Kluyveromyces lactis: one gene and its partners. The protein of the gene in region 5 interacts with the protein of the main gene of each other region in a biochemical or structural test. Links are inferred from orthologs where the notes say so. Each region holds a gene or a part of one and is shown on either strand. Other genes may lie near its edges. The genes, in order: SFT1, BOS1, GOS1, BET1 and SLY1.

Region 1 (6,117 bases), on a different chromosome or scaffold from region 5:
ACTCCCTAAAAACCCATAATGACATATATCTGTGGCTGAAGCATGGTAATTCTTTAGTTTCCGTATGCTTAATTTGGGATTAAAACTCGTTTCTAAATTAGCCAATCTAGAACCAGCCGGTCTATTAGCAAGAAAGGTTCGTTGGAACCAATTTGCCATTGTTTTAAAGATGCGTCGATTAGTACACTAAAAAACCAGTGACGCTAATTGGAAAAAACAATAACCAAAAAATAAAAAAACACGACTATAACAACGGCAATAGTTGAATATAATCTATCGTACGCTCTCTGATTCGTAACTCAGTGGAATGAAAGCTTCAATTAACGATATCGTCCACTTCTCTATATTAAAAAAAAACTCAACAAAAAAAAACTGTAAAAGCGTCTTTGTCCAATGCTTTCTTGGTATAAAGTAGTGAGTTAAGAGATAAAATAACAACTGCTTTCCGTAGTTTCTCAAAAACTTTTATTCTGATGTCAATAAAAGGGCTGACAACGATGATGTACCCTGGTTCACCCTTTCCATCTGTTTGTTATTTGTTTATGTATTTATTTATTTATCAATTATTTTGTTTTATTTCGATGCTGATTTTTTTTTGTTTCTTTTCCTTGAGAATCAAGAAACGTTCAACGTATTAAGAAACTAAACAATATAGGTCTAAAAGCAACAGTTAGCAGTTTAGAAACCTTACATACAAGTAAATCCTGATTACCGTTAATTTCCGACATGTTAATGAAACAAAGGACCTCGATGATGTAACAGTGTAAACACGAGTAATTTAGATGTACATTATATTATTGTTATAATAATATATACTGATAAGAGTTGAAAACCCTCACTTTAAAATTATATGTATGTATAGTGAGGATAGTCATACGCCTCAAAAGACTTTAAGGAAATGAGGAGTGAGAAATGTTATTTCTATGAAGAAAAGAGATTTTTGAATTTGTAATTGTTGCTAATGAAAGGAATTGGCAAAGCTTCATAATAAACCGATTAAAGTTTAAAAAGTTTAAGCCTTGGCAACAGCCTTCTTAACAGCGTATCTCTTTTGCTTCTTCAAAACCAAAACTTGGAATCTTTCGAAGTCAGACAAAGCAGCACGTCTTTCTCTTTGAGCGATCTTCTTAGCCCAGGAAGAAGTAGCCCATTTTTCAGAGACACCAGCAGCAGCCCACTTCTTTGAAACAGTAGCAGACTTAGCACCTCTTGGAACAGCAAAGGTCAATGGAGTCAAAACGACTTGACCTAAGTTGATAGCTTGTCTTGGGACACCAGTGGTTGGACCATCAATCAAAGCCTGGAAGGAAATTAAAATTAGACAAGTTAATGTCATGGATATTTTGTTAGTAAAAATTGTTCGATACGAGTTTATGGATAGAAACAAAAAAATAACTAGGAAAAGGACTGTCATGTTCATACCAAGTACGAGAGCCATCGAGTATTAACGACACATTCCTAACCTTACCAGAAGGAGGGAAAACAAACGTAGTCTAAACCTCTCTCTCGATGTCTGTTCAGTACAATAGTTTTTCATTCATTTCTCAAAGTATACTTTCTTTAACTCGGGAAACAGTTTATCATGAATCATTCTTTCCTCTTCCTCATATTATTCTTCGGTTCGATCCTATACATCTATGCAACTTTCCCAAATAAAGCATAAGAATACCAGATCGCAGTGTGATCGATATCTGTTCTTATTTCAAATGGAAAGATGGTACTGTACAGGGAATCTCCGTTTCATTATAATCTGTAAAACATACTCTCTTTTGGTCAATGATTTCAACAATAGTGGCCAACTTGCCGGCGGATTGGCCTTGTTTAACCAAAACAACACGGCCAACTTCGACCAATCTCCAGTTAGAAGCTTTAACAACAGAATCAGTGGACATCTTTCACTTGGTTCTTCTTCCGTTCTGTAAATCAAGACCAAACCTAATCTAATATAACGTAATAGTAAGTATTAAACCGTTATTATAGTATACCTTCAAATAGTGTAACAGATAAAGTAGTCAAACAATTTTGTTAAACCTTGGTTCCAAACTCAAACTTCCAACGCAGCCCTGTGTGTCTGTGCGTGTCTATCCGGTGAAGCTGGAATTCGCTATTGTCAGAATCCAGGACGCAGAGTACCTTGGAGTGCTTATTGATGAAAAAGTTGCGTGGGTAACAATGTATGTGGGCTACGGGTTTAAAATACATACCTATTCCAATTTAGGTATTATATTACAGGACGAATTCATTTTCATCCTAACACAGGCGCAACAAAATATGTAATGGTTGGGTGTTTAAAGGACATTATTGAAATATAATGAGATGTACAGGTGTATAAAAGGGCAGTCCCACGAAAATTGTTATCAATGTCCGCATGCTGATTGAATTATATATAAAGAGAGCGTATGAGATGAGGTATGCTGTTTGTATTCACACGATTAAACGGTGGTATTGTTAGACAGTTAATATTAGGATTGTGTTTCAAGTATGAAGCTTGTTCGTCACTTTAATAATAATAGTAACAGCATGAGCAGTAGCCACTGCTATTACTATACCTAGTTTTAGTGATGATTGAGATTTAGCAGCAGGAAGTATGGATTTGAGAAGAATTCTTATCATAATGTTTCGTGGTTTTGGGGTTCGCTTCTTTTCTTTTGAATGATGTTTTATAATTTGCGATCGAGGGCAAGTCATCTCGGGACATGCCTAGTTCCATTATGGGAGTCTTGTGGTATGCGAATAACTTTCGGTCTGACTATTATAGAAAAGAATCCTTTCATTACAACACATTCATTATAACTAATTCTTCTCTTTCTTTCACCTCAGCAGAGGTGAGGAGATAATTATCGTGTACTTCTGCACCTAGTCATGTTCCAATTGTGATCATACTTATATATACCACATATTTCTCAGGTATGGAGGATAAAGCGAACCATAACTATCTTTACGAGATGAAAACAGTTGCCTAACGTTGATTTCATATGAAAATTATAAAACTAACAAACACCAAGATCTACTCTGATTTCGATAATTATGGTTTTCGCTTTGTACCGTTAACAGCGTCATGTATAGTATTTGTATTCACCGTAGCTTTCTTGTACCTTTCGCTATGCTTCGCTGACTGAAATGAAATATCATTTCTAACGTGTTTTGAAGATTCAATTCCCATTATTATGAGCGATAGAATTGAAACACTGTCTGTACCTTAAAAGGCAGGATCAAAGTGCACCTCAGAGTTTATATTATAGCGAAACGTTCACATTTAGCAACTAGAACGCGATATAGAGCCACTCTTGCATAAAGTGAACTCTCACCATGTCGGATTCCAAGTACTCACAGGTGGAAAATGATGTATGTTCTACCAAAAAGACGTTTGATGGCAGAATAGGCTTGAACCTACAGGCGCAGTATCCTTACCGACTGTACGGTATGCAAGTGCCACTTTAAGATCGAAATTTACTAACGTAACGCTCAAACATTTTCTTTAGAATAATCAAAGGTTAGACGAATTGGCCAATAAACTATCTACATTCAGAAATATCAACCAAGATATTGGAAATCAAGCCGCAAATGACAGCTCCCTTATCGACAATATACAGAACTCATTCGGTCAACTTTTCCTTAATGTCAAGAACTCATCTACAAGGCTCCAGAGATCTATGAATGCCGGTAATAATATATGGCGTATGGTGGGTGTATCATTATTGTGTTTCTTCATATTGTACACGATATATAAGGTATTTTAAGAACCTTTTGCTTACTGACCGCAAGTACTCTTCTTTATAGGAAGAAGTTTGAATAAGCAGAAGATATTCGTTGTATATACACATATGTATACATTCAGGTAATGTAATGTCATAGCATCATCCTTTCATGCACCTTGAGCAGCATCTCTTCCCAATCTGTAATTACCGATCCCTTGTCCCCAGTTGATCTTGGCTCTAGTCACGGGTAATCTTCTTCTCAATCCCTTGAACTGTGTTTCATTCATGTACTGGAACTTATTGATGAGATTCTTTTCAAACTCGTTCTCAAACTGCTTGATGCTTACTATTGGTGAATCCGTCTGTGCTGATTCCAAGGAAGCAGTTGATTTGAAACGAACGTTACCGTCTTCGAAGTAATGAGCATCGACGGAGACTTCGCCAGAGATCGTATCCCCATCGACATCATACACATATTCTGATAACCAGTAACCAGTCCAGAAATCACCTAAACTTTTCTTGTTACTGACAACGATTATGGCATATTGGTCGCTCTCTGGAATCTTAAACACGTTGAACACAGCTGTATCAGGGAAGAAGTTTGAAACGTATTTAGACAATTCATCGTAAAGGTCTGATTGTACCTGAGTGGCATCTTCACTGGTATATTCCTCAATATCACTAGCTTCGCGGGTAATATGGTCTACGGCAAATAAAACCTTGTTTACTGGATCGAAATATTTACTTCCAGATTTATTGTATTCAGACACAAGATATCTCTCTTCACCCTTAGCAGCTGGCACTCTGTGCTTCTCATTGAATTCTTGGATAATTGAAGCAATCTGTTGCTTGCTTTGACCATCGCTTAACACTTGTAGATTATCGTAAACCAAAGAGATTTCCTCTGGAGGGGAATCGAATACAATATCTCTCACAATCTTCTCAAATTCAGACATAATATGATTTTCACAGTGTGAATTGATGTTCACCACAATTTACCTTAAAATGACAGGTTAATTGTCTCTAAATCCACTTCTTCACTGGTAGATTTTTGCCTATAACTGTAGTAAATTTTAACTTAAGAGTTCTTTACGATATCGTTATTCGTCTCATTTATTTTTTGAAAGAAAAAGGGACCTTAAATTTGAAGGAACCTAGGCTATCCATGACTTGTACTAGGGAAGAGCTGCAGTTGATTAATGACATGGAAGGCGCGTAAGGCCATGTGTTTTGGCAATATATTGAGATTTAAATACTCTTACAACTAAATAAACATGCTCTCTTGACGTATGTGCAAAGAAATAAGCTTATCATAGGATAGTATTTTTATATAGAAGTGCAGATTAAGCATGAAACAGAACAGATCCACTACTGAGCATTACTGTTAGAGCTCATGTTATAATGTTGAGGCATTTGAGGTTGCTGCGGAGGTATAGACTGCATTGACATACCGGTGTACTGAGGATATGGTGCCAATGGCTGTGGGATATGGTTCGTACCAGTATAATTGGTGTTACCGACTGAGCTCGCATAATTTTGAGGTGAGTTTATTTGACTCAAGGGCTGCTGAGTTTGTTCAGACTGTTGAATTTGTTGAGTTTGTTGAGGTAATGGATATGAATATGGCGGATTTGGTATGCCATTCATTTGCGTTTGTGTATTTGTAGGACTTGTGTATTGAGCAGTTGGTGACATTGGACTTTGTGGGCCTGGAGTTGGTGCAGGTCCCGTCATAGGCGCGGGCGGAGGCGCAGAATAAGCATAAGCATTAGATGCTCGACTTAGCAACTGGTTGTATGTGATTTCAGCATTAGCCAAAATTTGACGTAATGATACGAGATCTTCTTTCTTCTGAGCGTACTTACCAAGCATCTTTGATATCTGTGGGCGAATTGGTGAAACTGATCCGTACAAATCATTTATCTCTTGGTCTTGCGTGATATCTGCGTTTCCAGCTTCTCTCAACTTATTCTGTAGCCTGTCAACATTGTCCTTTTGAGCGAAAACCTGTTCGTCCTTTGCTCTTTCTGCTGCCAATTCTTGTTGAGAAGGTTCTGTAACTGGAGTTACATAATTGAGCGGGAAGATTCCAACGCTCCCAGCAAGCGTTCCTCTCCACCAATCCCTGTACACCTGCTCAACCACACAAATCAGATCCCCTTTCTTGAAAGATAATTCATCCTGTTCTGTAGAATTGAAATCGTACATTGCCCTTACCTTACGTATAACAGTTGGCGCTTGTTGTTGTTGAGCTTCGGCATTCTGAGGGTACAGTTTCTGTTGTTGCTGCTGTTGCTGCTGCTGTTGCTGCTGCTGCTGCTGTTGAGGCTGTTGTACTTGTTGCCTGCTACCCGTCTTTTCAAATTCAAGTAAGGACAATCTTAGTGCCTCTGCGAGCTCTTTTTCCTCTTCAACCTCT
Region 2 (6,451 bases), about 1.1 Mb from region 5:
GCAAGTTTGAATTTGTTATTGACAGCATACTCATCATTGATATTATAACTTTGAACGCCTTTGAAAGACTCCATTATACCGGTTCTCTTTGGTGGTAGCAAAGTCCTGTTGTTTGAAGTTTCTTCTACTTGGAAATCCGATCCGAACAAGACCCTACTGACAGGTTGTAACTTCTCCTGGTCAAACTCTATCCTGCGTTTCGTATGTTTGTTCTTATGTGGGGTATATTCAGGTGTCTTTAATGCCGGGCATGGACTTGTTAAATTCATGGGTCTAGTAGGTGGCTGCAATCTATCCTTTACTCTAACTGTCCCCGGAGTAACCATGCCAGAGGAATCAGATTCCGCGGCTCGCTCTGGAGTTGCGAGCAGCAAATCTGTCTTATTTGATCTCTTATTCCTAGAACTTGGAGGGGTAGCTGGGGTCATTATTATGGAAATAAGAGTGTAATGCGTAGAATGCAAAAAAAAAAGAGGATAAACTCTAGTATTACCAATTGAAAGCTATTGATATTGTTTTCAGATGTATCGGTGTGTTGATGAGATCTAAATGAAAAGTAGCAAAGATGGTATAGAATGTATACTATACCGATGATATCCCTTTTTCTGTCTAAAACAAAACGGACTGAAAATCTGGCAACTTATAATGAAGCAAAAAGCAGAGTAGGTTGAAACCAGTTTCCAGTAACCTCACTATCGTCAAGAAGGAATTTGATATGAAGAGACTCTGATTCGATTACTTAGGTGCGTATGCAACCGCTCTATGCTGGATATGGTTCGCTGTTAAACTATCTTTATATATAGATATATGTGAGACTCAAAACCAGCATCTTTAATTTTTTTTTTAATGTGAACCACTAATAATATTGAACCAGCAACAATTTAGCAGTCATACTTGAGTAGCAGTAAATAACTTCTAAACAAGGATTGCGTCTGTGAGCAGTGGAACCACTGGAAACTAAGAAAGTTTATGGAACATTCATACGCATTGGGATAATTCAGATCGATCAGAATTGACGATTGACGCTCAACGTTTGACTCAGCATTTTCCTGTATTTCTCAAGAGTATTCCTTTCTTGAATCTTTTGGATCTTCATTAGCGATCAAGAATTTTTGCGATCACAACAGGGCTAAGATGGTATGTTTCGCTGGAGCGCTGCTCTAATTGTATTTCTACATTTATAGACACGCGTCGCGTATGTGTTACTTATTTACTAACTTACCTTAATTATTGTTTCCCACGATATCACTAGAACGCGTTGTATAATCATGCCATCAAGCAGCGAAGTCTTCTAAATAAAGACTTGGGTAAATTTGAGAAAGAGCTCGTAACAGCGCCGATCTCTTTGCAAGGGGCGATCGCCACAACCCTTGTTTCTTTCGAGAAAACGCTTCATCAGTACAAGGAACAATACAAGCAATATCAAATAAATAGTTCAGATGACAACGACGAAACTAAACTAAAGTATGAGACGAGACTTCAGACCTTAACACAGGATTACGAAGATGCAAAAGAGAAATTTACCGAATTGAAGCAAAAATACTCAGAAATTAATGCGAGAGATCAGTTGTTCAACCAGCAAGCATCAATGGTGGAAGAGACCGTGATGAATAAAAGGAACATCAATGCTCCTCCGCAAACATCTTTCGGAATAGGCGCCTTAGATCAGAACAGTGAAAGAATGACTATCAATTCGGCGGCTGGTTTACCACTATATGAAGGATTGAGGAAAGAGAACTCGATCTTTGAGAGAGGCAACGCGCACTTGGACAGAATATTACAGATGGGACAGGAATCTTTGGAAGATATCATGGAACAGAACAGGGTCCTTCAGAGATTGCAGTCTCAGATGACAAAATCTCTACACGTACTCGGAGTATCAAATGAAACAATCGAAAAGATTAATAAGAGGTTGTTCAAGGACAAACTCATTTTTTACATTGGTCTCCTATTGTTAATCTTAGGAATTTATTTCGTCCTAAAATGGTTCGGCTGATCAATGTTTGTAATAAAGATTTATCAAAGTAACTCGGAGATATATTAATAAATATAGACTTTCTTTGTAACTACCACCATTATAAAAATAAAGACGTAATATGTTCTCATGAAAACGTAGTAACGTATACTGAGAAGAGGATGTATTTACAAGATTTTAAAAATCAGGTCTAATGAGAGTCACTCGCTATGCCTTCCAGAATAAACAAGATGCTTCCTTACCAGCTCTTAGACTCTGTTCGTCTGAAATAACTAGTTTATTATTTTCGTCGTACAATATGTCTAGGTTCTTGCCGTTGAACCTTTCACCTGGTTCTAACAATCTAGGAATGTAAGCTGGTTTGTCCCATTTGATCTTCTTCCCATTACCAAGTTGGCCATTTTCATTATAACCCCAGCACATAATCTCACCATTCTTTAATCTTACAAAAGCATGCTGCTCTCCACAATACCAATCTCTGATCAAGATGCGCTTATCAGAATTTACGGTATTATCCTTGAGATCGTTTATCACCTTCATTCGAGTAGGAGTAGATTGCGAATGCTTGAAATGACCATTACCTAATTGCCCTTGGATACCATTACCAAAGGCAAAATAAGTGATGTTATCCTTGTCATTGTCAATATCAATTGCAAAGTCCTTGTTTTTGAAATATCTATGAACATCCTGTGGAAGTATACTAACAAAGGACGTGTTTCCAGAACAATTAATTTCGACACACTTCAAGAAATCATGTTTCTCAAAGTGTCCGCTAAAGCTGCTAACCTTCTTTGGGAACGGTACATATTCCATATCGTAGCTAATGCTTTGGCCGAGTTGGCCATAAGTATTTAGACCAAAAGAATAAAGTTCCCCGACTGAGTCACAAGCAAGGGTGTGATAGTCTCCACATGCGATTTTGGAAATTGATCTGGATGTGACATGATCACCAGCAATACCGGTATTTAATAGTTCGATTTCGTATACCCTATTCAATTCGGGGTATGGATCAAATTGCGAGAACGTTGGGATACCGAATTGTCCTTTAGATCTTTCATTTTCAACGTGTTTAGTACCAGTCGCGCATGTATAAGCTTTCCCTTTATTCGAAAGAAGAACCAAATGGTTTGAACCAACGTCAAATTGGATCACTTTTTTTTCACCAGAGTAACGGAACGCAGATCTTGTGTCTAGCTTCCAAGAGTAACGGCAGTACGTTTTCCAAGGAAGCAACAGTGACCTTGACCAACTAATTTTATCTGAAAATAAGCTCTTATCCTTTAAAGGAATGACTAGCACTTCACCTTTTTTATTCAAACCATAAGCGACATCGTTCGAAACTTTGATTTGTACCAAGTTTTGATCTTTCAACAGTAAATTACATTTACTATTATCCCACTCAAATAGATTTCCGTCCTTGTCTACGGCTAGGTTTCCGTAACTTCCATCATCAGTTAAGCAAACATCTCTTAGTTTCATACCATCGAAAAATGGAACTCTCAATGGGAACTTGGTGACGGCTTTTTTGGAATCAGTTCCCAATCTTTGTCCCCAATAATACAACCCCACAACTGAACTATCAGCCGAGTCAGCTGGAACTACAGGTATATCGGTCAGTTTCCTACGCTCTTTTTTTTCCTTTAATTTTTCAATCACATCGTCACTTACATGAATGTCTTCAGTAATCCACCAATTCTTGATTTGAGGCCACATCATATATGCGGTACCAATAGCGCTGACACCACCAACAAATAGGAGACCTTGAAGAACAGCATACAATTTAGCTAACTTTTCCATCCTATCAAAGTACTCTTTTTCAGATTGCGCCTCTGACTTGTCCTTCCATTGGTAGTCTGTCTTAACACGTTTACCGACATAATTCGCATTGTTCAAGCGTTCAGCCATAATTTCTGCATCGTCATACTTAGGTTCCTTCCCTAGTAGTGTCACAGCAGATGAATGGAACCCATTAACAAATTGATGACCACACCGAGAATAGCTGATCTTTGTAGCTTGATTCGCACCGCAACGAACTATTGGGCGGAACATCTCTTTAACACTTTGCAGTTTCCAAGAAACACCTTAACAAACTGGTACGCCTTCACCGTTATATAGCACACTGTTTATAAATAAATCTTTCTATATTTCTTCGCTTCCTCATCAAGCATTTGACAGCTCATTTTGGCTTTTTTTTTAGTTTCATTAGCATTAATTTCAAAGGTTTCGTCTGTTTTACTCTTTACATGGCTATTTCCAACAACATGTAATATATATATGTATAGAAATTCAATGGCAATCTCAAAGGTGAAACAACTAACGTTAAATTCCACTGGTTTCGGGGCTAACTCCTTCTGAATACCTAAACAGTACGATTTCAAGTTTTACATTGTTGTTATTCCATATCCGATAAATCTCCGATATCTTGTCAATAACTGGGGTCTTCTAAATTTGTTTAACAACTGAAAAAGATATCAATGATAAGATCTTTCGCTTTCCCATCTTATCCTCGTGGGTTTTTAGGATTACGGACCCTTCATACATCTCGTATCCTTTACAATGATATGGAGACTGTGCACATTAGGGATACGAACCATTTCAGGCAGCGTTTAATGGATGAAGGTAAGTTCTCTGAGGAGCAATCTAATGTGATAGTGAATATAATGATTGATGCGTTACGAGGTGGGGTGGCACATGTGTCACAAGATCTTGCTTCAAGAGAAAAGCTTACCAAACTTACCTACCAACAAAGGGTTGACTTTTCAAAACTTAGGGAACAATTGCTTACAGCGGACCGTAGTGAAATCCATAATTTACAGAATGAACACGAAAGGATACGTAAAGATCTGGAAACGATGAGAAATAAGCTCAGAGAAGAAATCACGAAGGCCAATGCCGGTTTTAAATTGGATTTGTCCTTGGAGAAAGGTCGTATAAGGGAGGAAAGTAGTCACCATGATATGCAGATTAAAGAAATCGATACCAGAATTGATCAAGAAGTGACGAACATGAAGATGCAAATTGATTCTGTGAAGACGCAAGTCATGCAATGGCTAATAGGTGTATGCACTGGTACATTTGCACTTGTCTTGGCGTATGTCAGGCTTCTAACTTGAACCTTTGTCCATTGTTTTCTTTCAGTGGATGTATATACATGCGTATCATAATACAAGGCTGCAATCATAGGTATGTTGCCATGGAAAGACGTGTTAGCTTTCAAAAGTAACTTCGGTATTTAATTTAACTTTAATTATGGGGCAAAGCCCGACAGGAATAGGTACAAATGATCTCTAATTGATACACGATACTACAAAGTCGTAGAAACCATTATTCATAGATCAAACAATTCCTTTAAGATTCTGACAGTGTCAGCAGGAGATTCTACAGAGTGACCGATAGTTCTGTCGTCGACGTAGATTTCATAGTCGTTACCACCCTTGTAAGTCTTGTCACCGAAGAAGTGGATTTCTTTGAAACCGTCGGCTTCGACGTGTCTCAAACAGTAAGTCTTATCCCAACCGGTTGGGAAAACGTCAAATGAAATTTGACCACCGATTGAGAAGGTCAAGGACAAATGAGCGAATTCCTTCTTTAGAGCTTCGACGAACTTAGCTCTGACTTGGTGTTCCTTATCAAATTGTTCAAATTCGTTTCTTTCAGCAGTAGAAGCGTTTCTACCAATTGGTGAAACGTTAATCATACCGTTTCTGAATTCCAAGAAAGTACCTCTTCTCTTTGGCAAATCGATGGAAGCCAAGTATTGCAAGATGAATTTGGCCAACTTGTTGTATTCTTCCTCACCGATCCATTCGATAAAGGATTGAGAAGCTAGTTCCTTACCCAATCTGTAAGCGGTCAACCCGTTTTCAGAGAAGGCATAGTCGAATTGATCCAAAACATCAGATCCCAACTGTTCCAACTGTTTGGATAAATCACTACCACCAACGAAACCAATAACAACTTTTTCTCTCAATCTCTTCAAGATGTCTCTAACCTCGTCTGAGACGGTCAATCTGGCTGGAGTCAAAGTACCATCAACATCAAACAAAACCAAAGTGGTTGGCTGTTCCTTATGCGAAAACTCTGAAACACTCATTTCTTGATCTATTTTTATCGATGGAGATATTGTATCTTACCTCTGTAAAACGGAGCTATTAAGTTTAATCACAGATGGTTACTTGAAGAGGATACTTCAATGAAAGGATGTGGGAAGAAATATTTGGCTTTCTTGTTTCTTTAGATGTCAACTGTGTTAAATATAAAATGCCACGAAATGGTTTTTTTCATCAATTTTTCATTTAGAACTACGTGTAAAGAATGTAGAAACGTGAAAAAAATCACGTAAAGAAAACGAAGAGAACGGCCAAAGGATCTTGACAATGTACTGCAATGCAATATAGGCGTGATTATCTATATGTATGTGCCAGTTCGGATGATGAAGTGGTAGTTGGTAACGGCTCATGGAGTTTTCAGTAATTC
Region 3 (6,391 bases), on a different chromosome or scaffold from region 5:
GATAAAACAGGAGAAAATGACAAGGGAAGGGGAGAAGGAGTCGTTCAGCACAGAAAGAAAGGTAGCAATTGGCGCAAAAAATAAAATTAAATTGGAAAACAGGGATTAGCTTAGCTTATACGCTCATTTCTGATCAAGGAAAGTAGAGAGTGTTTTTGGTTTTCAGCTAGCTGCCTGCATCGCCAACCACTTCAGTGGGAGTTTCTATGGAATTAATGACTGTCAGTGATTTGCCAATAATGGCCGGCCTTGGATTGGAATTTTATTTGATACTTATTCGTTGAGTATATATATATATAATCGAGACATTAGCAACTTTATGAACGTTAGCATCATTTTTGCCCTGCATTCAATAGAAGTACTTTGTTTAAATTTGTGATATATTGAAAGAATTTAAGAGCTCTGTCTTTTTCGTCCCCATTTAGCGACTTTCATATTACGACACTGTACCGCATCGTTCCGAGTACTGTTCTCAGTAAACCATTACCAATACTATTATTAAGGCTTACTCTGGTTAACTAAGTCAGCATATAACACCAATATTCAGCAGACAATAGAAAATAAACGCTTTATCCGCTTTCCGTTAAGTTTTCAGATTTTCATTTGACAGTAAGAAGAAGATCTAAAAAATATAAGATCTCATTAAAATATCATTGAAGAAGACATACACAAAATGTTTAACGCTATCATTAAGAGAGGTTTGGCTACTGAAGCCAAGGCTGTTGCTCCAAGGCTAAAGACTTTCAAGATCTACAGGTGGAGTCCAGATAGACCTGCTGAAAAGCCACGTTTGCAGGAGTACCAAGTCGATTTGAACCAATGTGGTCCTATGGTTTTGGACGCTTTGATTAAGATTAAAAACGAACAAGATGCTACTTTGACCTTCAGAAGATCCTGTAGAGAAGGTATTTGTGGTTCTTGTGCTATGAATATTGGTGGTAGGAACACTTTGGCCTGTTTGTGCAGAATCGACCAAAATGAAAATAAACAAACAAAGATCTACCCACTTCCTCACATGTATATTGTCAGAGATTTGGTTCCGGATTTGACTCATTTCTACAAACAATATAAGTCTATTCAGCCATACTTGCAAAGATCCGAGGTACCTGCAGACGGTAAGGAAAATTTGCAAAGTATTGCTGACCGTAAGAAATTGGATGGTTTATATGAATGTATTCTATGTGCTTGTTGTTCTACATCTTGTCCATCTTACTGGTGGAACCAAGAACAATATTTAGGTCCTGCTGTTTTAATGCAAGCATACCGTTGGTTGGTGGATTCAAGAGACGAAGCTGCTGGTATCAGAAAGCAAATGCTACAAAACTCCATGTCTTTGTACAGATGCCACACAATTATGAACTGTACTAGAACTTGTCCAAAGGGTTTGAATCCAGGTAGAGCTATCGCAGAAATAAAGAAGGCCTTGGCCGTCGATTAGAGGATTCAAAACATTCTAAATTGTGCAATGGGGTAATATTGGCTCGTAATACCACGAAAAAGGTTACTCTTGCTCCGGTTGCATTTGATCTTTTATTTCTCTTCAGTACAGAAAGTTATTTCACTTCCTTCCTCTAAATTTTGATCTTTTAAAATCATTTCCAAAATATGCCATTCCACCAGTAAACAAAAACAAATTAGAAAAAAGGAATGCATTGAACGCTTTCCTGTGCTCATTACATGAGCACTTAACCAATGTTCAATAGAATCAAGGGAATCTCAATCACAAAAATCACCTGACACCAAGCTTCTCATTTTCATTCCATTTAATTTGATTCTTCAAAACATAGACTCTCCTTCAGTTCAAATACCTCCATGCCGCTCTGGCGCCAATCATCATTGTTCTTTCACTGTAAAGTTTCTCTCTATCTCTGGCTGGTGTTGATATAATACTTCAACAGACCATTGATCGTCAGGGAAAAGTGGAAGAATGAATCGTGGTAAACTACAGACTGATGCGAGTTCCTCACAATGCCCGTAAAGAAGTCTCACTTATCAAACAACTTTATGTTTTAACCACCACCGTATCATCATACAGCAGTTCCTATACTGTTATCCTAACCTAAATGAAATGTCACGACTTTGTCTGTTTTATTATTTATTGATATAAGCTTTTCTCATAAGTGGAAAAACTTATCGTTTCATATATTTATTCTTAAATTTCACTTTTCAACGTATGCATTGATTGTATAATCTCTTTAACGGAAAGTTTCATATTACTTATTTTTAGTTGTTGGCGGTATGTGCGGAATTTACATCCTTCCGAAATACCCTTCTTCATTTTAAATTTCATCCCTTCCGGTTTTTTACACCTCTGGTTCTGTTTATTCCTTGAGCTAGGTAGGATACAATATCAACCTGAAAATAGGTTAAAACTGAAACGATTCAGATGCATAAGGGAGATAATAATCATTGAGATGACCCTCTTCAGCAGATAAATGTTATCATTGCAACAATACAATAAACAATTACCTGAAATAGCCAAACTTGTATCAAGATGGGACAAGGCCAGCCGGGTTCAACTCATTAAAGAAATCTCGGATCACATTCTTGTCGTGAACATGCGACAAAAGCAGTTTCTTACAATCGAACTGCAAATTAACTACGATAAAGTATATCAGGTACCTTCCATAAGGTTCCGGTTATGGGAACATGCTTTGGATGATGAAGATGTGTCCTCGAGTAAGCTTTTATTTTTATCTGATGTCGAACTACGGTCTATAATCGCCCTAAATTCCTTTTCAGTGTCACTTTCATCAGATCCCACCACTAAAGAAGTTTGGTATCATGTCAATAACTGCGATACAGATGCAAATGTGGGCACAGAGCCTGAAAGATATCTTCTTCGTTGGATATCTCTATATTTGCAGATCTTTGATCCTACATTAAATATCATGCTTATATAAAGGGAGACGCGAGCAAATGCCGAAGCGATTGACAATATTTATTCGCATACATCAATAAACATTGTTCCATCATGTATAAGTGTATGTTTTATGAGACATAGGCATCTTTTCGAGGTATATTTAGATGAAAGTTATAATTCCCCTTGTATCCCCTCCAGTTCAAGGATTAATATCAACCGTTATGTTTCCTTTTGATTGAAATATTAAAAAAAATAGAAATAGGAAGGATAATATAATGTTAAGAGTTAAACCAAAGAAGTCTCAGCAGACACATGTCGATTACCAGAAAGGACCAAACTGCTACAACCGTTTGAAATGTCAGCTTCATTTGTAACGGTCAGATCTAAGGCAATTTCTTTAGAATCACAAACGGATTCTCTGTTGACTAAATATTCTTCTTTTGCTCAAACAACAAGTTCTGAACCGTCAGGACAAGAAACGCAATTGCAGGAGAAACTAGAGAAGATTCTCAACCAGAGACAGGAGACAGTGGAATCTTTACAAAGAATTGCAGACAGTGAAAGTAATATATCCACGTCCAAGCTATCACAGCTACAGCGCCATAGGGAAACATTACAAGACAATTGGCAAACGTTCCGTGACATTCGCTCCTCCATACAACAAGAACGCAATCGCCTTAACCTCTTGTTTTCAGTGAAGAAAGATTTACAAAATAGTGCTAGTGATAATCAAAATGAATATATTCAAGATGAGGCTCGGAGAGTCGAAAATTCTCACACAGTGGTGGATTCTTTGATAGACCAGGCTTATGAAACCAGAGAGCAGTTCATGTCACAACGAGTGTTTTTACAAAGGTCTAGTGACAGAATCTTACAGACTTTGCAACACATTCCTTTGATTAATAATGTGATATCAAAGATAAACACTAGAAGAAAGAAGAATGCTGTAATATTGGCATCCTTAATATCAATTTGTATCTTAGTACTATTTTTTACAGCATAAATAGTATCAACTGAGGTAATTAAAACTTGATAAGATCACTGTTAATGCTATGATAGGTACGTAATTCGTTATAAAGGGAAGAATGCATTTGTGTTTGTTCTCATGCGCTTCTGTCACTATGCTTTTGGATGAAATTTGGTCGGGAGTAGGTTGTTTCTTCTGATTCGAAGATTGTAGGAATACCTGTGCTAGGATTTCTTGTCTTTGAATTCCTCAATACGCTCTTGAAATGGACTTGTTTGTTCTCAGACGTCTGAGATCTGTGGCTTTCTACGTTTGAGGTTGTGTTATTAGTACCGATGGTTTCTAAATCAGAACCAACGAACCCAGATGATGTTTTCACCTTTAGGAGTTCCCAATGTCTTCTAAACCAATCGGTATAAGCTGAAAGTGGTAAGTTTAGAGGTGATTCGTGCCCTTGATATATGCAAAAATCATATACTAAACCACCAGTGAAACTTCCCACGAATGGAACGACCATTGGAACCCAGAAGAAATGGTGATGCGTGTTAAAAATCACATCTTTGTCCATCCCGATTGTTAAGAGAGCTAGCCTAGGTCCCATATCTCTCGCAGGATTCAAAACAGCACCTGTCTGGTATGCGCCTGCTGCATTGAGAATAAACATAAGAATGAAAAGCATCATAGGAAAAAGGTCCGTGGACAAACATGTATAAGGATCTGTTAACGAGAAAATTCCACACTGCAGCATGGCCCCTATTAGAAATTCTGCAATTATTTGTCTTGATGTAGAGAGATAATCCAATGGCACGACACTGAACATTGCCAATACACTTTCCTCCAAATGCCAGTTTGGATATACATGTTCAATAACCTCTCGATAGTACCACAAAATTAATAAGGTTCCAATATACGAGCCCAGGTATTGTCCCATAAAATAAACACCTAATTTTCTCCAAGGGAATCCTCTATAAACAAAATTTGACACCGTAATTGCTGGATTCAGATGTGCACCCGAAATTGCACTACCACCTGCTGCAAAATAACCCATTACCACAGCCGCAGCCCAACCAAAGGCAACAGTTGCGAAATTACCTGCAACATCTGGAGTTGCAAGATATTGCAGCATAGCTATTTGATCAGACTCCATGTTATTCAACTGAATAATTTGATTAAATTTGTTAATTTGATTTTGTTGTGAAAGTTTCCTTTGACAGTTAACAGCAGTACCAAACATCATCATAATCATGGTACCTAAAAACTCACCGAAAAATTCCTTCATGTGTTGGTACTTAAACGATGACCACTTATTGATCGGATAATATGTCGAAGGTAAAACTGTGGGTGTTTGAGGGTTTTGATATAAAGTCTTTGGTTTCACCATCATAGTCACGGCACCATTCACGTTGCTCGGATCATTTGGATCTGCTGCAGTTTGACTGTTTTGATTAGGTCCCGTCGTCGATCTAGACATCACGGATCCCGGACCTTCTGTAGGCCTAGGTGGCATGACGTTAGAAGTTACGGTGTTACTTCTTATCCTCCTATAGTTATTCATATTTAGTGACGTATTCGGTACCACCTCTTGCACAGGAAAATAAGAACCTTCGTCCAGATATTGTTGCACGTAGGCAGTAACAGGAACCGTAGCCCCATCATCTGCACTATCGTTATCATCGTCATAACCGCCTTCGCCTGAGATTCTACTTTCATTCCCGTCAACGCTACCTGTCGGATAACGATGATTCACATTTGCAAAGTCATCGTTCTGCCAGTCACCATTGGATATTCCAGCGTCTTTGACAGGCTCATATTGGGCCGTCTGTGACATTTCAACCGCAAATTATGGCTGCAGCTACTATAGGATTCTGATTATCTAGTATTGCTAGAGTTCTCGTTTCAACTAGTGTTCGGCAAGTCGTAAATATCCGAAATCTGTACAGTTAATTAAAAAACTTTCGCAAAATTATAGATATTATTGATATGTAAACATGAAAAATATCCATTATTCGAAAGATGAGTTAGTTATGTGAACGTTTCTATAATATTTACAACTACCACGGCTGAGGGTTCTTTTTTTTTTCCTTTTTTTCCGAGATTATCTAAGCTGACTTGCCTGCCTAGAACTTGGGCAAAACCGATAATCAAGACAAGTAGAACATCAGCCGTCATCTGGCAAGAAGAATTGACGGTTTGGTTTCACCTTTGTATTTTTCCTCAAATACTTAGAATTAGCTTTTAGTATTCTGATTCTGGTATGAGAGTGGCCGTTGGTCCAGGCGCAAAACGTGGGATCTGAGAAAGAGGAACAATATTACTGTACAAATGAGACTTGGCTTGGAGGATCGTCGCTATTACACACTGTTCTTTATGCTTTTCAAACATTCCAAGAAAAAAATTCAGAATGTCACATAGTGTTTTTGCATCGTTCCTTTTCAATGTTCAGAGGTAAAAGAGTTGGATAAGGAAAATCCATTCACATCATAAGTAACTTTCCACAAAAGAATGATACCGACAACCTTCTCCTACCAATTGAAAAAAAATGCGGGGTGCTGAAACACAGA
Region 4 (6,154 bases), about 360 kb from region 5:
GTTCCAAGAATAAATTATAGCCCCTGAAAACACTATAATAGTCCCAGAAATAGCTGTTTTTGTCATGTGGTTGCCGAAGATGTATACGCTTAAAAGAAGACTCGCAAATTTCCTGATAAGCATGATGACAGATAATGTAAGAGCGTCAGTTAAACTTGCTAACAAATTGACACTCTGAATACAGATGAATTGGGTCAAGTTATTGGCAATCAACATGAATAATTTTCTTGGAAGATTTATGTTCGTATACGGTAACAGGACTGTTTCTTTTGACTCCATCAATAGTGGAAGATCCTTCTTCAAATTCAAACGAGTGAAAATTGGAAACAATGGTGTTGAGAGTAGATGACAATAAAACGATGACTCTTCCCAAAACCTTCCATACTTACGAAAGGTATACTCATTAAGAACAGCGAGTAATGACATCGCCATCGTTGATAATGAAAGTAATAATATACCGAGAAATAGCCTGTTTGACCCGTTAGAATATTGAAAGCTTTCCAAAAAGTTATGCCACGACGTAATTTCAGTAGACCTGAAAACAGAGGTAATTATGGCCCCAAAAGTCATCATGAGTGCTGCTATAATTTGAGCAAAAGGATATCTCTTTTTGAGAATTATTGAACTGAAAATCATGGTGTTTACGGTGCTCAAACATTTGATGACAATGTGTAATGGAATTGAAATGTTGTACATGAAAACGTTATTATTAAGAACAGATCCAATGAAAAAGAGCAACGCTGACGTTGAATGGATAAAGAACGGTATCTTGCAGGGTTTTATTGAGACTTTCCTCCCTTTTAAGCTGACAAACTTCGGCAGTTCAATTAGGATAACGAATATAAACTGTGTAAAAGTGACCACATTTCCCAACCGATCTTTATTATCTAGTAAAAGTTCTTCTAAACTCAATACATTGGAACAGCACCCACCAAACAACGATAAAATAGCCAATATTTCTATCATTACTAAAGAAATGAAATTATGAGATCAATTGGTCAACGTAAGGGTATTCAACACATGGAATGGTTTCTATATATATAGTAACTCTCTCAATCGACAATAGGAAAAAAAGGACTAGCAATCAATTGACCTTTAAATGAATCCAATAGAGTTAATCTCATCAATCCAATTGAATTCAGTAACCATGAATACCCCTAGACTACACATCCGGAACGATTTCAAATCAACTTAAACAATCTTTCTTTCATGATGACATGTATTGTAAAGAGGTTGCCTGAATTTTATATGAAAAAACGTTTAAGAACCATAAATGCGAACCTTAAAATAGACACGCATTAAACCAACGTATTAAGGGCACGTTTGTCAGAGAAAGAACAGCGAGAAAGGCTCAGTTGAACTAAACTATTAGTGTACTCAGGAACCATTATTTATTGGCTAAAATTTTTATACTTGTACTGACCCAGTGCCATCAATAACTTTAAGGTTCTTTGAAGGTTGAGATTCCAACTGCTATAAGATGAGTTTCCTATTCTATGGAGATTCGAAGCACCTGAGGAAGCGAGAGAGCTTCCACTTTGCGACAATTGAAAAGAGTGATTATTCTAAACAGTTGCAATCATTGCCTTTGCTTCCCTCTTCCTCTTCATTGAGACAAGATCATATATTCTCCAATGTGGCCAAGGAAGTAAATCAAATCAGTGACGATGTTGCCATAATTTATTCGAGACTTCAGGAAGAAATCGATACAGAACAATCGCAGACGAAAGAAGTAAATAACAAGATCAACCACTCGGTAAAAAAACTAGAGTCTAGCTTTTCTAAGTTAGTAAAACTACGATCAAAATTCACTAAGGATTCGGATAAACAGTTAAAACAGTTCGAAAGCAAATATTCTGACATTGATAAGAAGGTACGAATAATCAGAGATGTGAATGAAGAATTATTAGACTACGTAACTAGAAACGGTAGTATAAAAGTTGATGCGACGCAATTCAGCAAAATTTCAAAGCTGTTGCAAGAAAGGTTCCCAGAGAGTAGTAACACGACAGAAACCGAAGCGAATAAGGACAATAGTGGGCAGTCACAGAACGAAGCTAATTCCGAGAGTTTGAACAGCTCTTATTCGAGGCAAAGTACAAATGGAAGCCAAAATAATGCTAAAAAAGATTATCATAGTACCAAAGGAAATTCAGCGGACTCAAACACCACCAAATCGTACCGTCAGTCGATATCCTCGGCGCCATTAGCACTGTCATCAATCCGGAGTACATCAAGGCCATCAATCGCTACAACTCTTGAGCATATATGTATCACAGAACCGTTCACTAGACCTCGAGGCATGAGCAAATCGGCTGACTTATGAAAAGTTTCATGTCAAATTTACCCATTATTGATCTGTTCCACTTTTTACTTCACCGTTCAGTACATTATCTAATATCTTTGAGAAAATGACATACAATCCAGAATCCTTGTAGAGATCAACTAAGCTCTCTTTGAACCCAGTCTGTTTCTCAATCAACTCGACAAACGTCGGATCAATTGGAATATTCCCCAGGTACGGAACGTTATATTCGCTGGCTAATTTGAAACCGCCTCCTCTAGAGAAGATATCTGTACATTCAGCACAATGAGGACATATAAATCCGGACATATTCTCGATGACACCGAGTATATTGAAGTTGACTTTCTTACAGAAATTGATTTCCTTTCTCACGTCTGCCGTAGCGACACCTTGAGGCGTGGTAACAATAATAGCACCATCAGGTGCAGCCCACCTCAACTCTTCTGCGATAGATATATGTTCATCCGAAGTTCCGGGCGGTGTATCGATAATCAAATAGTCCAAATCTCCCCAATCCACATCTTTTATAAATTGTTTAATCATAGCACTTTTCTTAGGACCACGCCATACCACACTATTACCTCTATCATCCAAAAGAAAACCCAAGGACATGAGTTTCAATTCCCCTCCTGATGTCGTAGGAACACTAACGGGTATCCAACCCTTAGAAGCCTGATAAACCTGTTTATTTTCTAAACCAAACATTCTAGGCAACGACGGTCCAGTTAGATCAATGTCTAAAACACCCACTTTGTATCCCTTTAAACATAAAGTTAATGCTGTCTGTGTGGTGACAGATGACTTACCAACACCACCTTTACCAGAAAGGACCAATATAATGTGCTTGATGTCCTTTAAGGACTCAGGCATACCCAATAATTCGGTTTCAGCTGACATCGAGATACAATTGATTATGATCCTGGGACACTAAACGTACCAGCCACTGCAGATATGACTGTATATGCTCACAGTGGACAGAATACTTATAAAAGGGTATACTGCAAATACTTTTCTCAGCCGTTTAAACAGTAGGTTGACTAATACATTTAACTCTTAGCTTAACTAGGATTTCATGATGATAATGATACCTTTGTCAGAGCGAAGGGGAAACCTTCGAGGACAATATCACGTGATTAAACTTCAACAAAAAGTTTTCGTTAAGCGAATCGATTTGGTAGTAGCTTACAGATGGACTAGGAAGTTCCAAGGTGAAACTGCACTTAATTCCCTATGGTTAGATCTGAGTATCTTGACAAATCTACACTTTGTATTTTATTGTTGAGGCACTAGAAATAATTAAGGTATGAGTTCAAACTATAGTGGAATGCAAGGTGATTTGACACAGCGAGATGCGAGTAGGACGCAATTGTTTGCGGGTACTGACTTCTCTAAGTATAAACAACAACAGGATAGACCAAGTTCGCCGTTTGATAGACCATCCCCAGGGGTAGATTATTCTCAAGCAACACTTTCGCAGCTCGAGTCTCAAAGTGATGAACAAATGAATACCATGAGTGAAAAGATCAACGCACTAAAGAATTTATCTCTACGAATGGGAGATGAGATTCGTGGTAGCAATCAGACCTTAGATCAGTTAGGAAACGTTTTTGAACAGACTAGCAACCGTTTGAAAAGGACTTTCAAGAGAATGATGGTGATGGCTCAGAATTCTCGCATTCCATTAAAAATATGGTTCATAATATTTGGTGTTCTGACACTTTTGTTCTTCTACGTCTGGATACGTTGAGAGAGCGAGAGCGAAATAAAAAACCACAAAAGGGTCATGTACTGAAGAGTATCCCATCGAGCATGTATATCTAATTCGTATTGGTTAAACGCATTCCTTCACGCATTATATGTACCATTAAAAAGATATATTAATAAATCGTAACTATCAGTATTAGGTTGAAATATAAGATTATTTATAGGAAGAATTCCTGTTCCTCAATCCATGAGCTTAGCTTCCTTCCCGAGGATACCATGAGTATCCCGTTTTGCAGCGTAACGTCTTTTCAGTTTATAATGATGAATGGTTCTGGGTATTTTCCATAACGCCAAGAATGTCACCACAACAAATAAGTAATTGATTCCGCTAAATTCGCGGAGGTAGTCAATTAATCTGAGCAATCCACTGAGTGGAGTTCTCAAAAAGATGCGTTCAATACGAAGATCAGGGTGTCTTGCGGGGAAATTCAGAATGGAGAGGACTTCGGGCAACGTCTCTAGGGTGATGTATTGTCCAGAAGCATCCTTTTCGTAATAGATGGCTTTTTGCTTGTCCACGACAATGATATCACCAGTCTTGAACTTCCTGAAGTAAACATTTAGACCTTTATTATTCAAGAGAGAAGGGGATTCATTAATGTCCAAATAGGCAAATATGACCTTGTGATTATAACTGTAATTTATCTCTTTTCTCATGGCAGTGACTATATCAACGGATGGTGCGTTTTTGTTCTTAAGCTTTTGCACCAGTTTTTTCTTTTCTTCTCTGGCCGTCTTAAGACCTTCGTACACCGCCTCGTTACGCAATATTTCATAACTATGTGCCGCTACTCGTAGGCCTTCGACGATTTTCTTTGAACCTTCTTCAAACTTATTATTCTTCTTATTAACCAATTGAATTACCAACTTGTCATAGAAATCTTGTTCAAATCCTTTTAATGCTTCAAAGTTTTTGGATGTAATCTCAGTGACAGTTGGAAGAGAGTTTATAGTGAGCCAATCCAAGATGAAGTCCAAATTTCTGGTTTCAGTTGTTGAATATCCAGGGAATATGATCGGAGTAAACGTAGATTTCTTGAATATGAAGAACGTTGGTGATTGGGTAATGGATGTCGTGATAAAATGGTCCTCATTAATTTCAGTGCGTTGATCGGTATTATAATCTTTGTACAGAGTTTGATAGAGAGTATGGCTTAACTTCTTTAGGTCGTCAGTGTTCTTGTACAAGTAAATATTAGGGATGTATCCCAATGGGTCAATGAGTTGTTCCAAAAATTGCATATCCTCAGGGACAACAGTTTCCGGGTTATAATTAAATACAAGCAATATTTTATCGGCTTCGGCATTTGCTTCCAAAATGTCACTTTTTGGTTCTTTTACAAAAGCTTCGATCTCATCCTGATCAATATTTGGAACGTTACTGTTGTGTAAAGTTCTTGTAGCAAAATCAATCAAGGATTCGCTATCGACACGCTTTGGACCAAATGGGAACTTAATAAAACTACCACTCTTGCGGTTAGGTAAGATCAATGCAAATTCCGGGGCTCTTTCTAACCTAGAGTTTCTCTTCTGAGTCAAAGTATCGAAGGACAACTCCCTACAAATGGCTTCATTCTTTGAAGAATCTGTCGGATTCACACAGTTGAAATGTACCGTATTGATTCCTATCGAGTCAGCCTTGTTACTTACCAACTTCCAAATCCGTTGAAAAAGCGAACAGTCTTCACAGTTTTTGAACTGATAAGAAGATTCGATATCTTCAAAATCAGAGGTTGGCCAAAATGAGACAAAGTATGGTTCAGTTTGAGGTTCTGATAAAATCTTCAAGAGCTCACCATCATTCAACAGTTTACTCTTGCTCGATAGTTTAGTGATATCCAGATTGTCTGCATCCAGAGCTTCCTTTCTTGCAAAATTTAGCAAAGTTGTTTCAGTCCGTTCCAAACCTCTGGGAAATGCCTTGATAAAGCCTTCTGGTCCATATAATCTGATGGTAGGGTATGAATTAATACCCTCTTTCATACATAAGTCTCCTGACTCGATACAATCCACTTGATGGAGAGATATGTTGAGCTGCAAGGATTCATCGTAAAAGCCATTGTACGTCTTTTCCCAAATTGGGGC
Region 5 (7,841 bases):
ATTGGACTTCTTCAACAAAGGATGGTAAAGTTAGTGCTCAGTTTGAGCAAACCCTTTTGGTCACCGAGAATGGTGTTGAAGTCTTGACGGCAAGGAACAAGAAGTCTCCAGGCGGCCCAAGAAATAGGATAAAATAGACCCAGTGAAATGACAATAGTTAAAAAATGAATATCAATAGAGAAAGTTACTGTTTACCTCGTTTCGTATAGGAAACAATCCATAAAACAGCCATCATCGTCGTCATAACGGACATCATTTCGGCATAGTCTTTCATGTGAATAGATTCAATACATATCATCATATAAATCAATTTACAGAAGACCAAAATATTTAGAGAATTCTCATTGAAAACCACTATTAGTATTTATTATACTGAAGATGTGCGGTCCTACTAAAGTATAATCTTCATCATCTTTGCATAAATATGAGGATCACGACAGCATGGATTGTTGCTTTGCTTCAATAACCGGGTAACCATTAGCTTTCGCCACTTCCAAAGAAAAAAAATTAATCGAAAACAGTGATCTAAGTTTTCTGATGGAGAAAGTAAAGCTTTTAATTATGGCTAACGTTCGGTGTTGAAGAAGAATAACATTCAAAAGAGTGAAAGATACTGTTGCATTTTCGTCCACAACGTTGATTCTAATAGAACCGAAATCAATCTATACTCTCTAATATTTAGTTGTGATATTCATTGCAGTCAATTGCTTGCATCTTATTATCCAGATCAAAAGTCATAATTTGACAATACCAATTACGTGCAGTGCATAATAGAGAGAAAGCAAGATAATTATGTCAGTTCAGTTGTTAAATCCAAAGGCCGAGTCCCTAAGAAGAGATGCTGCTTTAAAAGTCAACGTCACTTCAGCGGAGGGTCTTCAATCCGTTTTGGAAACTAACCTAGGACCTAAGGGTACTTTGAAAATGTTGGTCGATGGTGCCGGTAATATCAAGTTGACCAAAGATGGTAAAGTCCTATTGACTGAAATGCAAATACAGTCTCCGACTGCTGTCATGATTGCTCGTGCAGCCACTGCCCAAGATGAAATTACTGGGGACGGTACTACAACCGTTGTCTGCTTGGTGGGAGAACTGATGAAACAAGCTTATAGATATATTCAAGAAGGTGTCCATCCAAGAACAATTACTGACGGGTTTGAGATTGCAAGAAAGGAAACCTTAAGTTTTTTGGATACCTTCAAAATCGAAAAGAGCGCTGAGGAGGATTTGGATCGTGAATTTTTATTGCAGGTTGCCAGAAGTTCCTTATGTACTAAAGTCAACCCAGAACTCACTGAAGTTTTAACACCAATCGTCACTGATGCTGTTTTGGCTGTTCAAGATCCTAACAACAGAAATCTAGATTTACACATGATTGAAATAATGCAAATGCAACATCTATCTCCACAGGATACCACTTTTGTTAAAGGATTAATTTTGGATCATGGAGGAAGACATCCTGATATGCCAACCAGAGTCGAAAATGCACATGTTTTGATTCTAAATGTTTCTTTGGAATATGAGAAGACGGAAGTCAACTCTGGTTTCTTTTACAGCTCTGCTGACCAACGAGACAAGTTGGCTGCTAGTGAAAGAAAATTTGTTGATGAGAAATTAAAAAAAATCATCGACTTGAAGAATGAAGTATGTGGTATGGATTCTAAAGAGGGTTTTGTTATCATAAACCAAAAAGGTATCGACCCAATGTCATTAGATGTTCTTGCTAAACACAACATTCTTGCTCTAAGAAGAGCCAAGAGACGTAATATGGAAAGACTACAACTCGTCACTGGGGGTGAAGCTCAAAATTCCGTTGATGATCTTTCGCCTAAAATTTTAGGTTATTCCGGATTGGTTTACCAGGAAACTATCGGCGAGGAGAAATTTACTTACGTCACCGAAAACAGAGATCCTAAGTCTTGTACCATTTTGATTAAAGGTTCTACTCACCACGCTTTGACCCAAACCAAAGATGCAGTAAGAGATGGTTTAAGAGCTGTTGCAAATGTCATCAAAGACAGTGCTGTCGTTCCTGGCGCTGGGGCATTCTTCATTTCTGCTTCCCAGCACTTGAAAAGGGCGAATATGAACAAGCTAGGCGCCAAAGGTAAAGCAAAAACAGGTGTACAAGCCTTTTCAGACGCACTTTTGTCTATTCCTAAGACATTAATAAAGAATTCCGGATATGATGCCCTTGATGTACTTGCCCAATGCCAAGACGAGTTGGAAGAAGATGAGACAAGAATAGTGGGTGTTGATCTAAATATTGGCGACTCTTGTGATCCAACTATAGAAGGTGTTTGGGACTCTTATCGTGTCCTCAGAAATGCAGTAACTGGTGCCGCAGGTATAGCCTCTAACTTGTTGCTATGCGACGAACTACTCAGAGCCGGTAGATCTACATTGAAGGAAGGTCCACCACAATAATGAAGCTGGTACAATTAAAAAATATCACTGTCTTTAACGTAGGTTCCAAAATCAAATAGAATTATGTATACTAAATGGAAATAAATACGAAGTACAAGACTCAAGTTTGGCCGATGTATATGTAATATGCGATCTCTTCACGAGTGCTATAGATCCAAATCTACGTGTTGGCCAAATACCGTTTCCATCACCGAAAACGAAATACTAATATACTTCAAAAAATGATTAAACATCAAAACTGGAAGCACCTTTATAATAAACAGACACACCAAAAGTACAGAAAGTACGGACGAGAGTGAAGTCATTGACTGCAAACCATTGAACAGCATACCTCATCGGGATCACATATATACCAGAGTAATATGCTGAATTCAGAATTGTCCTTAAGAGACAGACAGATTCTGTCTATTGAAAAGATGCTACTGTTCAATTCAGATAAAGGAACGGAAGCAGCAACAAGCAATCTTGATGAACAAGAGATCGTTTGGAAAGTACTGATCATGGATGCTAGGAGCACCGCTATAATATCATCTGTTATGAGAGTCAATGACTTGTTAAAATCCAATGTTACAGTTCACGCCCTTATCACACAACAGAGATCCCCTTTACCTGATGTTCCAGCAGTGTATTTCGTGGAACCAACAGAAGCGAACATCGATGCGATTGTCCAGGACTTGAAAGAAGATAAGTATTCAGAAACATACATCAATTTCACAACTACATTGAAAAGAGATCTTTTAGAAACCTTTGCAAGCAAGGCTTCTGCTACTGGCAAGTCTGACAGAATAAAACAAGTGTACGATCAATATTTGGATTTCGTTGTAACAGAACCGGAAATGTTTTCATTGGAGATGCCCGGCACTTATGGACTTATTAATAATCCTCAGAGTTCTGAGGACGTTATCACTAATCTATGCGATTCAATTGCTACTGGGATCTTCAATGCTATCGTCACAATTGGAACTATACCTATTATTAGAGCACAAAGGGGTGGTGCTGCTGAAATGGTGGCTCAAAAACTTGAAACCAAACTGCGTGATTATGTCAATGGTACCAGATCTTCAGCTAGTGGATCAACTTCATTTGAGCGGTTTGTTCTTGTTATAGTGGATAGAAATATTGACATTGCTTCTATGTTTGCACATTCCTGGATTTATCAATGTTTGGTATTTGATGTTTTCAAATTATCAAGAAACACTATAACCATGCCTACCACCAACGAGCAAAACGAAGAGGTTATTAAAAAAATGGATATAGACCCAAAAGATTTTTTCTGGATTGCCAATTCTCATCTACCATTCCCTGATGCTGTCGAGAACGTGGAAACTGAACTTTCGAATTACAAAAAAGATGCAGAAGAAATTACCAAGAAGACTGGTGTAAGCAATTTGACAGATCTTGATCCAACAGGACAAAGTGACACTATACAAATTCAAGAAGCTGTGAAAAAATTACCACTTCTCACAGCTAGAAAATCTACCATTGATACACACATGACAGTTCTCGCAGGGCTTTTGAAACAGCTTGAAAGCAAAGGCTTAGATTCTTTCTTTGAGTTGGAACAATCTTCCGATTCTTCTAAAACCAGACAAGATTTCCTTGCTGCTCTTAAAGATGGAAAGACTAACAACATCGAAGATAAGGCGCGTACGTATATCATAATGTACCTGACAGCACAAGAAATATTGCCTAGCGCCTTTGTCAAAGAAGTGGAGCAATATTTCCAAAGCGTCGAGTATGATATCAGCGCATTAAAGTACATATATGATTTGAGACATATGTTCAAACTCTCTTCAATGGCATTACAAAATAAATCATTAGAAACGCATACATCCGCTAATTCAGAAGGCCAGGACGGTAACGCATCACAGCTTCTCTCCGGACTATCAAACAAGTTATATGGATTAACTGAGGGGAAAATACAAGGTGTTAGTTCTCTTCTTTCTGGAATCAAACAACTTCTTCCCGAGAAGAAAACGATTCCCATTACCAATATCGTCGAAGCCATCATGGATCCATTGAACAGCTCAAAAAAGAACCTTCACATTACAAGTGAATATCTTTACTTTGATCCTAGAAGCACAAGGGGTTCGCACGAGAAGCTACCAAAGAGTCAGACATATAATAAATCCTTGGTGTTTGTTGTAGGTGGCGGTAATTACTTTGAATACCAAAATCTTCAAGAATGGGTTCACCAACATGAAAATAGCAACAAGAAGGTCATTTATGGTAGCACTGATATAATCTCCCCTAACGGATTCTTGAAAGAGATCTCAGGATTTAAAAAGTGAGGTTATAATATAGATTTATGATTTTATTTGTTGTCAGTATATATTTATAATAAACTTATACTTTGATGAAGTAAGATGCCATGTTAACACGAAATTAAAGTTACAAGTAATTTTCAGATTGTTCCAAGATCTTCGTAGACCTTTTAGCATCTAAAAATAATAGCTTTGCTTCTTCAACATCTGCCACCGATATTTCGGCGCGGTTTGCAATCTTAGCAATGATACCTGATGGTGATAGAAGCTGTAGAACATAACGCAAAGAAGTTTCTGTGCCTAAAGTCGCCAAAAATTCCAATGCTTCGTCCTCCACCTGCAAGTTCTCTACAGCAGCTCTCTTTGATATGATTGTTTTGATCTCTTCTCTGTTATAAGGTAGAGTTCGAACAATTAGGAGTCTATCTATCAAATCTGGTGGAACACCGTGAGGAGAAACAACGTCGTCAGTGCCGCGTACGGTGATCATTCCTCTGTTTGAGGCCAAAACAACCACAGGTGCAATATCAGATTCTAATGCTCTGTTTAAGTAAGTAAATATTTCGATGTCAAGCATATTCACTTCATCAATGAAAAGAACACCCGGGACAAGTTCTGCTACACCTTGGTCAATGTACTTTGCGACAACCTTATTAACCTCGTGTCTAAGCTTTTCTGTTATCTCTGTCTTCTTTGGTTTCATGAGCTGTCCCATCATCGAAATGACATCTTGTCCACCTTGAGGTCTGGCATTAGCGACATCTAGATCATGTAAAGTGACATCCTGAACTATTTCCTTCTTCTTATGCACTTCTCCCTTTGGAAGGGGAACGTACTCTTCCGCTTCCAAATCGAATTCAGTTGCGAAGGCATCTGATCTACCAACTCTTTTCACCGCACCTGTATTTGATTCGATATAAATAACGTCACCAACAGAAACCTTTTCTCTTTGAATGCTTTCGTATATAGTTGGATCAAGCCTCAATGTCTTAGTACCCTTGGCAGACTTCAATCCGACGATAACATGCGAGATTGTCTTACCATAACCACCCAACGGATTTTCCGCTTCCTCTGGAGTTAATTCGGTAACTTCACCTTCGTAAACTTCCTTTGTTTCTTTAATTCTTAATCCAATGGCTCTTCTGAAGTTTTCCATCAAAGCTTCTGTCTTTTTCACTTCAACGGAATACAATTCAGAGCCCACTAAGGGACAAAATGGAACTTTAGGACCAAGTTCCTGCGATATTGCCAAAGCCAAAGCTGTCTTACCAGTGGATGGCCCACCAGCCAATAAGATAGCTTTACCAGACATTTTCTTGGCTTTGATCAAATCGACGATGACACCACACGCTTCCCGAGCTTCTGCTTGCCCCACAAAACCACCTTCCACTTGCTTTGCTACACCAAACTCATCTAAACCTAACCCTTTAATGTGTGTGTGAGCTGCAGTACGGGTATACGCAGTGCTTGATTGTTCCTGCACTTCACTGATTTGTACCATGTTAACGTTATACTATCGCAAGAAGGAAAATATAGATGGTAATAATAGATATCTTCTCCTAGTTTTCTTTCGACTGCAGGACTATTAAAAAATTGAAAGGCTGATCCGTTACTACTACTCAATCGAAAGCTAGCTAAAGAAGACCGGTCAATACTTGAAAATCATCAAAGAAACCCAGATTTGAAGAGATGTCGACTGCTGTTTTTTCTTCTAAATTGCCCAGTAAACAAGAAAAGCATACATATCATCACATACGGAATTGATAGTTGTCCACGTGATTAGATATCATGCCTTTTTTTTTTATTTAGTTTCTACGCTGCATTGACAGTTGAGCAGGACCAATGCAATCGAGGTAAGAAATCCACCAATGTCGTGCTCACAGTATCTTACAGCTAAAGGTTCAAAAAATGTTTGTATAGCTTGTCAGGGCAAACAGCTTGATATCCTTATCAAATGAAACTATGGTGTCCGAATAAGAAAAGGACGGCTAAAAGCTTTGCTTCTTCAACTTTTTTTCTTTTCATCGATTATTTCGGTTTTTCATGCAGAACCAGCAAGCGGGATCAATTACATTTCCTATTTCGGAATATATCCATCTCGATTTAAAGAAAAGCTCAGTTTCACTAACTAATACCCTCTTGTGGCTATCACAAATGTAATTCCATTCCGTACTCGTACATATAGTACATATATATATATATTTATACATATATGACCTGACTGAGTGTGATTTACTGGTATCGTATCTTTGTGGTTCTGAGTACGTTATTACTGTAAGTCATTGAAAGGGTAGAATAAATCTGACAAAGTTTTAAGGTAAGGATTTCCACTGCATAAGCATTAATAATGGAGTCTCCAGTTAGGAAAGAGTACCATCAACTACTGACTCCTCCATCGTCATCGGTAAAGAAACATGATTTGAAAGCGGGTGATCTCAAAGAACTGTCTATCAAGCCAAGAAAGCTTATAAATGATTTAAGTAGAGTTAAAAAGTCACCATCTCGGAAGAAGAAACTATGCGATTCGCCTACTACTCGCAGTTTGCCGCAGACAACAAGAAAACCAAGACTGAAATATAGACCAGAACTGGATACTGTTTTTCCTTTGGATAATTATGTTGAGGGATCTGCCAAGAGCTCATCAAAAGATGCTGAATTTTTAACATACGTGTTAAGTTATTCGAAACGAATCGTGGTGGTCCAAGGAGCTGGGGTATCAGTAGCAGCAGGAATTCCAGACTTCAGATCAGCGAATGGGCTATTCACAACTTTAAAATCAAGTTCACCAAATGTCAAGTCTGGGAAGGATTTATTTGATTTTAACCATGTTTACTCGTCAAACTCCATGTCGATATCTTTCAACAGCCTAATGAGTAAATTGCATTCTTTATCATGTACTAGCAAACCTACTGCATATCACAGTTTTATCAACCAACTGTGCGAAAAGAATCAAGTGAAAAGGATATATAGCCAAAACATCGATGGATTAGAAACAAAATTTCAAACAACCTCAGCTAACGAATCTCCAAAGAATCCACAAGTAGTGCAATTGCATGGATCCATTCACCATATGTCCTGTATGAAATGTAGGAAAAAATACGACATGGATCCTTCTATGTTTAAAACGGATGAAGATGCCGAAACAGGTGA

The links.
Region 1: the proteins of SLY1 (region 5) and SFT1 form a complex in vitro, tested with the Saccharomyces cerevisiae proteins (2 studies listed by BioGRID). The link is inferred for Kluyveromyces lactis from reciprocal best matches to the Saccharomyces cerevisiae genes SLY1 and SFT1.
Region 2: the proteins of SLY1 (region 5) and BOS1 form a complex in vitro, tested with the Saccharomyces cerevisiae proteins (2 studies listed by BioGRID). The link is inferred for Kluyveromyces lactis from reciprocal best matches to the Saccharomyces cerevisiae genes SLY1 and BOS1.
Region 3: the proteins of SLY1 (region 5) and GOS1 form a complex in vitro, tested with the Saccharomyces cerevisiae proteins (2 studies listed by BioGRID). The link is inferred for Kluyveromyces lactis from reciprocal best matches to the Saccharomyces cerevisiae genes SLY1 and GOS1.
Region 4: the proteins of SLY1 (region 5) and BET1 form a complex in vitro, tested with the Saccharomyces cerevisiae proteins (2 studies listed by BioGRID). The link is inferred for Kluyveromyces lactis from reciprocal best matches to the Saccharomyces cerevisiae genes SLY1 and BET1.

Annotation. Positions count from the first base shown.
Region 1 is NC_006038.1:1,173,790-1,179,906, forward strand, and holds SFT1 (Sft1p), read left to right. Parts: upstream 1-3,309; coding exon 3,310-3,345; intron 3,346-3,482; coding exon 3,483-3,740; downstream 3,741-6,117. Other genes in the region: AUR1 (inositol phosphorylceramide synthase), read right to left, coding at 1-159; RPL14A (60S ribosomal protein eL14), read right to left, coding at 1,013-1,300, 1,764-1,892; CAP1 (Cap1p), read right to left, coding at 3,866-4,654; ESCRT-0 subunit protein HSE1, read right to left, coding at 5,067-6,117. UniProt on the Saccharomyces cerevisiae protein: Vesicle SNARE required for retrograde transport within the Golgi complex.
Region 2 is NC_006040.1:492,324-498,774, reverse strand, and holds BOS1 (Bos1p), read left to right. Parts: upstream 1-1,134; coding exon 1,135-1,137; intron 1,138-1,252; coding exon 1,253-1,996; downstream 1,997-6,451. Other genes in the region: cyclin-dependent protein serine/threonine kinase inhibiting protein SIC1, read right to left, coding at 1-428; FMP25 (Fmp25p), read right to left, coding at 2,183-4,024; FMP32 (Fmp32p), read left to right, coding at 4,450-5,088; phosphomannomutase SEC53, read right to left, coding at 5,304-6,068.
Region 3 is NC_006041.1:52,370-58,760, reverse strand, and holds GOS1 (Gos1p), read left to right. Parts: upstream 1-3,218; coding exon 3,219-3,866; downstream 3,867-6,391. Other genes in the region: succinate dehydrogenase iron-sulfur protein subunit SDH2, read left to right, coding at 674-1,438; ATG10 (E2-like conjugating enzyme), read left to right, coding at 2,436-2,903; FPS1 (Fps1p), read right to left, coding at 3,967-5,658. UniProt on the Saccharomyces cerevisiae protein: Involved in transport from the ER to the Golgi apparatus as well as in intra-Golgi transport. It belongs to a super-family of proteins called t-SNAREs or soluble NSF (N-ethylmaleimide-sensitive factor) attachment protein receptor.
Region 4 is NC_006040.1:1,196,721-1,202,874, forward strand, and holds BET1 (Bet1p), read left to right. Parts: upstream 1-3,608; coding exon 3,609-4,052; downstream 4,053-6,154. Other genes in the region: YEA4 (Yea4p), read right to left, coding at 1-966; VAB2 (Vab2p), read left to right, coding at 1,481-2,326; iron-sulfur cluster assembly protein CFD1, read right to left, coding at 2,351-3,202; protein disulfide isomerase EPS1, read right to left, coding at 4,250-6,154. UniProt on the Saccharomyces cerevisiae protein: SNARE required for targeting and fusion of ER-derived transport vesicles with the Golgi complex.
Region 5 is NC_006040.1:1,555,946-1,563,786, forward strand, and holds SLY1 (syntaxin-binding protein), read left to right. Parts: upstream 1-2,789; coding exon 2,790-4,718; downstream 4,719-7,841. Other genes in the region: methionine aminopeptidase MAP1, read left to right, coding at 1-137; chaperonin-containing T-complex subunit CCT6, read left to right, coding at 793-2,427; RVB1 (RuvB family ATP-dependent DNA helicase pontin), read right to left, coding at 4,819-6,192; NAD-dependent histone deacetylase HST4, read left to right, coding at 7,039-7,841. UniProt on the Saccharomyces cerevisiae protein: Able to suppress the functional loss of YPT1. SLY1 is essential for cell viability. May interact indirectly, or directly with YPT1.